2 linked regions of the Macaca mulatta genome follow. The protein of the gene in region 1 interacts with the protein of each later gene in a biochemical or structural test. Links are inferred from orthologs where the notes say so. Each region holds a gene or a part of one and is shown on either strand. Other genes may lie near its edges.

Region 1 (3,887 bases):
CGTCCGTCTCGCGGGGTGGGCCAGGGCGGGTCGCGAGGGAGGGGAGGGAGACCCCGACTCTGCGGGAGGGGCTCCGTCCGCGCCCCACGTCCGCCGAACGCGGGGTTCGCGACCCGAGGGGACCGCGGGGGCTGAGGGGAGGGGCCGCGGCTGAGGAACGCGGGCTGCCCACCCGCTCCTGGCGCCGCAGAGTCCGCACCGGGTTTTGGCGCCTCCCGCGGACGCCCCCTCCTCTCGGCGAGCGCCTCCACGTCATGGCCGCAGGGCGCAGCGAGCGCCCTGATTCTTCCGCTTGGGCGCTCAGGACGGCGGCCCGCTGCCCACCAGACTCAGTCCCAGAACCCCAGTCTCAGCAGGAGGACATTTTGGGACGGGACTTGGGTGACTGTAGGGCACTGGTTTTCTTTCCAGAGACCGGAACGGGCGAGCAAAAGTAGTCCCTTCTCGGCGATTCTGCGGAGGAATTTCCTTGGGGCGGTGAACGCCGATGACTATATAAGGACGCGCCGGGTGTGGCGCAGCTAGTTCCGTCGCAGCCGGGAGTGGGATCGCAGTTCTTGTTTGTGTGTCGGTGTCATCGCCACTTGGTGAGCAGAGGGCTGCTGGGCCGGCCATGGCTTTCGTGGCCGCTGGGCCGCTCGGTGGGATGGAGGGGGGCCGACGCCGCGGGATGAGAGGCCGCCGAGGGCTGTAGTCTGGGTCCGCGAGCAAGGTGCCCCTGAGCAGCGGGTGGGAGGGGAGCGCAGCAAAATGGCGGCTGTTCCCGGCTCTTGAATGGAAGACGGTTGTGAGGCGGGCTGTGAGGTTGTTGAAACAAGGTGGGGGGCATGGTTTGCGGCAAGAACCCAAGGCCTTGAGGTTTTCGCTAATGCGGGAACGCTCTTATTCTGGTGAGGTGGGCTGGGGCACCATTTGGGGACCTTGATGTGAAGTCTGTCACTGACCGGAGAACTCGCTTTGTCGTCTGTTGCGGGGGCGGCAGTTAATGGCGGTGCCACTTGGCAGTGCACCCGTAGCTTGAGGAGCGCGCGCCCTCGCAGTGTCGTGACGTCATCCGTTCTGTTGGCTCATAATGTGGGGTGGGGCCACCTGCCGGTAGGTGTGCAGTAGGCTTTTCTTCGTCGCAGGACGCAGGGTTGGGGCCTAGGGTAGGCCCTCCTGAGTCGACAGGGGCCTGACCTCTGGTGAGGGGAGGGATAAGTGAGGCGTCAGTTTCTTTGGTCAGTTCTATGTTCCTATTTTCTTAAGTAGCTGAAGTCTGAGTTTTAAACTATGCGTTCGGGGTTGGCGAGTGTATTTTGTGAAGTTTCTTAGGTATCTTTTAAATTGTAATCATTTGGGTGAATATAACATATAGTTTAAGTATTAGGAAGATTAGTACATTGTCTGCTAAATGGTGGTGGTTTTTGGCTCTTTTGTTAGACAATGCAGATCTTCGTGAAGACCCTGACTGGCAAGACCATCACCCTTGAGGTTGAGCCCAGTGACACCATTGAGAATGTCAAGGCAAAGATCCAAGATAAGGAAGGCATTCCTCCCGACCAGCAGAGGCTGATCTTTGCCGGAAAGCAGCTGGAAGATGGGCGCACCCTGTCTGACTACAACATCCAGAAAGAGTCCACCCTGCACCTCGTGCTCCGCCTCAGAGGTGGGATGCAGATCTTCGTGAAGACCCTGACTGGCAAGACCATCACCCTCGAGGTCGAGCCCAGTGACACCATCGAGAACGTCAAAGCAAAGATCCAAGACAAGGAAGGCATCCCTCCTGACCAGCAGAGGTTGATCTTTGCCGGGAAACAGCTGGAAGATGGACGCACCCTGTCTGACTACAACATCCAGAAAGAGTCTACCCTGCACCTGGTGCTCCGCCTCAGAGGTGGGATGCAGATCTTCGTGAAGACCCTCACTGGCAAGACCATCACCCTCGAGGTGGAGCCCAGTGACACCATCGAGAATGTCAAGGCAAAGATCCAGGACAAGGAAGGCATTCCTCCTGACCAGCAGAGGTTGATCTTTGCCGGAAAGCAGCTGGAAGATGGGCGCACCCTGTCTGACTACAACATCCAGAAAGAGTCCACCCTGCACCTGGTGCTCCGTCTCAGAGGTGGGATGCAGATCTTCGTGAAGACCCTCACTGGCAAGACCATCACCCTTGAGGTGGAGCCCAGTGACACTATTGAAAATGTCAAGGCAAAGATCCAGGACAAGGAGGGCATCCCTCCTGACCAGCAGAGGTTGATCTTTGCTGGAAAGCAGCTGGAAGATGGGCGCACCCTGTCTGACTACAACATCCAGAAAGAGTCCACCCTGCACCTCGTGCTCCGTCTCAGAGGTGGGATGCAGATCTTCGTGAAGACCCTGACTGGCAAGACCATCACCCTCGAGGTGGAGCCCAGTGACACTATTGAAAATGTCAAGGCAAAGATCCAGGACAAGGAGGGCATCCCTCCTGACCAGCAGAGGTTGATCTTTGCTGGAAAGCAGCTGGAAGATGGGCGCACCCTGTCTGACTACAACATCCAGAAAGAGTCCACCCTGCACCTCGTGCTCCGTCTCAGAGGTGGGATGCAGATCTTCGTGAAGACCCTGACTGGCAAGACCATCACCCTCGAGGTGGAGCCCAGCGACACCATTGAGAATGTCAAGGCAAAGATCCAGGATAAGGAAGGCATCCCTCCTGACCAGCAGAGGTTGATCTTTGCTGGGAAACAGCTGGAAGATGGACGCACCCTGTCTGACTACAACATCCAGAAAGAGTCCACCCTGCACCTGGTGCTCCGCCTCAGAGGTGGGATGCAGATCTTCGTGAAGACCCTCACTGGCAAGACCATCACCCTTGAGGTGGAGCCCAGCGACACCATTGAGAATGTCAAGGCAAAGATCCAGGACAAGGAAGGCATCCCTCCTGACCAGCAGAGGTTGATCTTTGCTGGGAAACAGCTGGAAGATGGGCGCACCCTGTCTGACTACAACATCCAGAAAGAGTCCACCCTGCACCTGGTGCTCCGCCTCAGAGGTGGGATGCAGATCTTCGTGAAGACCCTCACTGGCAAGACCATCACCCTTGAGGTGGAGCCCAGCGACACCATTGAGAATGTCAAGGCAAAGATCCAGGACAAGGAAGGCATCCCTCCTGACCAGCAGAGGTTGATCTTTGCTGGGAAACAGCTGGAAGATGGACGCACCCTGTCTGACTACAACATCCAGAAAGAGTCCACTCTGCACTTGGTCCTGCGCTTGAGGGGGGGTGTCTAAGTTTCCCCTTTTAAGGTTTCAACAAATTTCATTGCACTTTTCTTTCAATAAAGTTGTTGCATTCCCAACTGGTGTGGTTTTTTAAAAGTTAAGGTTATTTTGCATTAGACTGGGTGAAGGGGATCAAGGTTTTCAGTTTACAAATGTTGCTGTGGTAACAGTGAAATGTCAGTGAAGGGGTTGACCTTAATATAGTACGAACTGTAGAAGGTGGGTGCAAATAAAAGCCGGCTTCAAGACCAGATTGGCCAATGTGGTGAAACCCTATGTCTACTGCAAATACAAAAAGGCAGGTGTGAGTGTCTGTGATTCCAGCTACATGGGAGGGTGAAGGAGAATCCCTTGAACCAATTAAGCGGAGGTTGCTGTGATCTGAGTGCCACTGTCCTCCCGCTGGGGGAACAGCAAGACAAAAAAGTTGTTGGGAGATGGAAGTATTTTACATATGTAGATTTAACTCTTAAGTTAACTTTAAAAATACTGGTTTGTGGGTGATGTGTGAGGTAAGAGAATGGGAGAATTACCGGAACACCAGGAAGAAGGAATTTTAAAAGGTGGGAGTGGTGGGAGGGTAACTATGAAAGGATGCTTCAAGTACATAGGTCTGTATAAATGCGCATTGAGCTGCGTAG
Region 2 (3,564 bases), on another chromosome or scaffold:
CCTGCCTCTCCAGGTTGGCCTTCCTCATCGTGGGGAAGCTGGCTGACCCAGGTCCACACTTCTCTTTAGCCCCTCTTGGGCACGCAGTTACTTCTCTGAGATTCAGTGTCTGCATCTGTAAGATGGGGGTGGGGTTCCTTCCCCCAGGACAGGAGATGACAGTGAAGTGGTGTGTGGGAGGCATTACTTCCGGAACTCACCTGCTCCAGGCCTCAGTTTGTCCCTGTCTGGCACCTTCCGTGTCCTGCCATTATCCTCCACTGGGCTCCATGTCATGATGCCAGCACCTCCTGCACTCAGAAGCCAGGCCTGCGGGTCCAGACGCTGATCAGGGCCTCCTCCTGTATGACCTAGGCTGAGTCACTTTGCCTATCTGGGCCTTCCTGTCCCCACCGGGAAGTGTATGTAGACCCTCCTCTTCCTCATAGGGTTATTGTGAAGATCAGAGTATCTGGAAAACCCTGGAAGGGTGGCTGGAGGTATCAGTACCCCCTGTTCCTTCTCTGGGCCTCCATTTCCACATTGATGAAATTAGAAAAGCTCAACCCCCAAACTCCTTCCGGCCGGGCGTGGGGGCTCATGCCTGTAATCCCAGCACTGGGAGGCTGAGGCCAGCGGATCATTTGAGGTCAGGAGTTCAAGACCAGCCTTGCCAACATGGTGAAACCCCATCTCCACTAAAAATACAAAAATTAGCTGGGTGGTAGTGGTGCGCGCCTATAATCCCAGCTACTCAGGAGGCTAAGACAAGAGAATCACTTGAGCCTGGAGGTGGTGGTTGTGGTGAGCTGAGATTGTATCACTGCACTCCAGTCTGGGCGACAGAGTGAGACCCTGTCTCAAAAAAAATCAGAAACAAAATTCCCTCTTCCATAATTTCCAGAGGCTCGTGCAGGCAGCTCCGTGGAGGCAGTGGCAAGAGAACATGAGACCCAGGCCTTCCCAGTGGGCTACTGACACGGATGCAGATGACGATAACGCTAATTGCTACCATCTTTGTGTACTTATCATGTACCGGGCACACAGACAAGTACTTGTAATGGATTTTTTTTTTAAATAGTGATGAGGCCTCACTGTGTTGCCCAGGCTTGTCTCAAACCCTTGGGCTCAGTGATCCTTCCCACCTTGGCCTCCCAAAGTGCTGGATCACAGGCGTGAGCCACCACACCCGGCTGGATTATTTCATCAACTCCTGAGGACATTTTACACATGTCCTTTTGTTGAGACAGGGCCTCACTCACCCAAGCGGGAGTGCAGTGGCACGAACACTGCTTACTGCAGCCTCGATCTTCTGGGCTCAAGGCATCCTCCTGCCTCAGCCTTCCAAGTAGCTGGGAGTACAGGTGCACATCACCACACCTGGCTAATTTTTTTTGTAGAGATGGGGTCTTGCCATGTTGCCCAATCTTACACATGTCCAGAGGCTTAGAGAGGTTAAGTGGCTGCCCACAGCCACTCAGGTGGGTAAGAGATGGGATTCAAACCCAAGTCAGCCTCCAGAGCTAATACTATTATGTCTCAGTGAGGTGTGACATTGTGGGAGGCCAAAGGAGGCACCTAGGGGGCGCCTCAGAGGTTTCCATAGTATGAACTTTGTAGTTGAACCTTGTAGGATTGAGTCCAGGATTGCACCATGGGGTCCCTCAAAGACCTGCAGGCGGGAGCTGCCGGCAGCTCTGGGGTTCCTGACCCAGACCTCCCGGGGGCCCGCCGCCTCTGTCTGGCTTCCTTGACCGCTGGCGGGCACAGCTGGCTGTGCAGACCAAGCGCGTGGCGGCGCAGGTGGATGGCGGCGCGCAGGTGCAGCAGGTGCTCAATATTGAGTGTCTGCGGGACTTCCTGACGCCCCCGCTGCTGTCCGTGCGCTTCCGGTAAGTGAGGTGTGGCGCGGCCAGTGGGCGGGGCCTCCCGGGCGAGGGGCGGGGCCTAACGGAGCCTCCCCCTCACTCCACCAGGTACGGTGGCACCCCCCAGGCCCTCACCCTGAAGCTCCCAGTGACCATCAACAAGTTCTTCCAGCCCACAGAGATGGCGGCCCAGGATTTCTTCCAGCGCTGGAAGCAGCTGAGCCTGTGAGGGGTGGGGAGGGGGCGGCGCCAAAGCCGCGCCTCCGGGTGGGCGGGTCGGGCCGTCCAGGTCCCTGACTTGAACCTTCCCGGTCCCCAGCCCTCAACAGGAGGCGCAGAAAATCTTCAAAGCCAACCACCCCATGGACGCAGAAGTTACTAAGGCCAAGGTGAGAGACCGCGGGCGTGTTTGCTGGCCTAGGGCTGCTTTGCTTCTCTGAGCCTCTGTTTTCCCATCTGTAAAGTGGGGCCAATTCCCATCCCCAAGGGTTTTGGGATCTGGGATGCCACTGTGTGGTAACTGACAGCTCTGGCACTCTCTGACGGCGGCCCCCCTCCCTCCCAGCTTCTGGGATTTGGCTCTGCTCTCCTGGACAATGTGGACCCCAACCCTGAGAACTTCGTGGGGGCAGGGATCATCCAGACTAAAGCCCTGCAGGTGGGCTGTCTGCTCCGGCTGGAACCCAACGCCCAGGCCCAGGTGAGTGCTGCTGTGGGAGGCCTGAGGTCGGCAGGAAGGCCACCTGTCATCTCTGTGCCCACTCTTCCTGCCTCACTGTTCAATTCACGTCCCCCCTTTGACCCTCCTCCTCTCGCATCTTTGTCCACTTTTCCTCCTCTTTATCCATCAATCTTCTCTCCTGTCTCCAACCTCTGGTCTTCCTCTCCTCTTCCTGTCCCTCCCTGATTTCTACCTTTCCATATCGTTTCCACCTTTCTCTTCTCATTTATAATTTCCCTCCTTTCTGGCTCCTCCGTTGATTTCATTCTTACATTCTCCTCTCCTGTGTCTTGTATCACTTTTCTGGCCCCTTTATCCTTCTTTCTTCTATCTCCCTTGTGTCCCCACTTCCCTGGGCTCCCCATCTTCTCTGAGTTCTGCCCCCAATGTCCCCACCCAGATGTATCGGCTGACCCTGCGCACCAGCAAGGAGCCCGTCTCCCGTCACCTGTGTGAGCTGCTGGCACAGCAGTTCTGAGCCCTGGACTCTGCCCCCGGGGATGTGGCCGGCACTGGGCAGCCCCTTGGACTGAGGCAGCTTTGGTGGATGGGGGACCTCCACTGGTGACAGAGAAGACGCCAGGGGTTGGGGGATGCCTGGGACCTTCCTCCGGCCTTTTGTATTTTTATTTTTGTTCATCTGCTGCTGTTTACATTCTGGGGGGTTAGGGGGAGCCCCCTCCCTCCCTTCCCCCTCCCAAGCACAGAGGGGAGAGGGGCAAGGAAAGTGGATGCCTCCTCCCCTCCCACCCCACCCTGTTGTAGCCCCTCCTACCCCCTCCCCATCCAGGGGCTGTGTATTATTGTGAGCGAATAAACAGAGAGACGCTAACAGCCCCATGTCTGTGTCCATCACCCACTGCTAGGTAGTCAAAGAAGTGGGGTGAGGGCATGCAGAGTGTGGGTGGCTAGGCTTCGCAGCCCATGGCTGGGACTCTGGGGAGACAGCAGCAGCAGCAGCCGCCGAACCCCCAGCTGCAGGGCCACCAGACGCAC

The links. The genes of interacting proteins can lie anywhere in the genome.
Region 2: the proteins of UBC (region 1) and AP2A1 form a complex in vitro, tested with the Homo sapiens proteins (2 studies listed by BioGRID). The link is inferred for Macaca mulatta from reciprocal best matches to the Homo sapiens genes UBC and AP2A1.

The regions. Positions count from the first base shown.
Region 1 is NC_133416.1:132,361,947-132,365,833, reverse strand, and holds UBC (polyubiquitin-C), read left to right. Parts: upstream 1-1,425; coding exon 1,426-3,255; 3' UTR 3,256-3,323; downstream 3,324-3,887.
Region 2 is NC_133424.1:62,271,625-62,275,188, forward strand, and holds part of AP2A1 (AP-2 complex subunit alpha-1), read left to right. Parts: coding exon of another isoform or gene 1-51; intron 52-1,612; exon of another isoform or gene 1,613-1,747; coding exon 1,748-1,871; intron 1,872-1,955; coding exon 1,956-2,072; intron 2,073-2,166; coding exon 2,167-2,236; intron 2,237-2,412; coding exon 2,413-2,547; intron 2,548-2,968; coding exon 2,969-3,046; 3' UTR 3,047-3,438; coding exon of another isoform or gene 3,439-3,564. Other genes in the region: FUZ (protein fuzzy homolog), read right to left, coding at 3,439-3,564.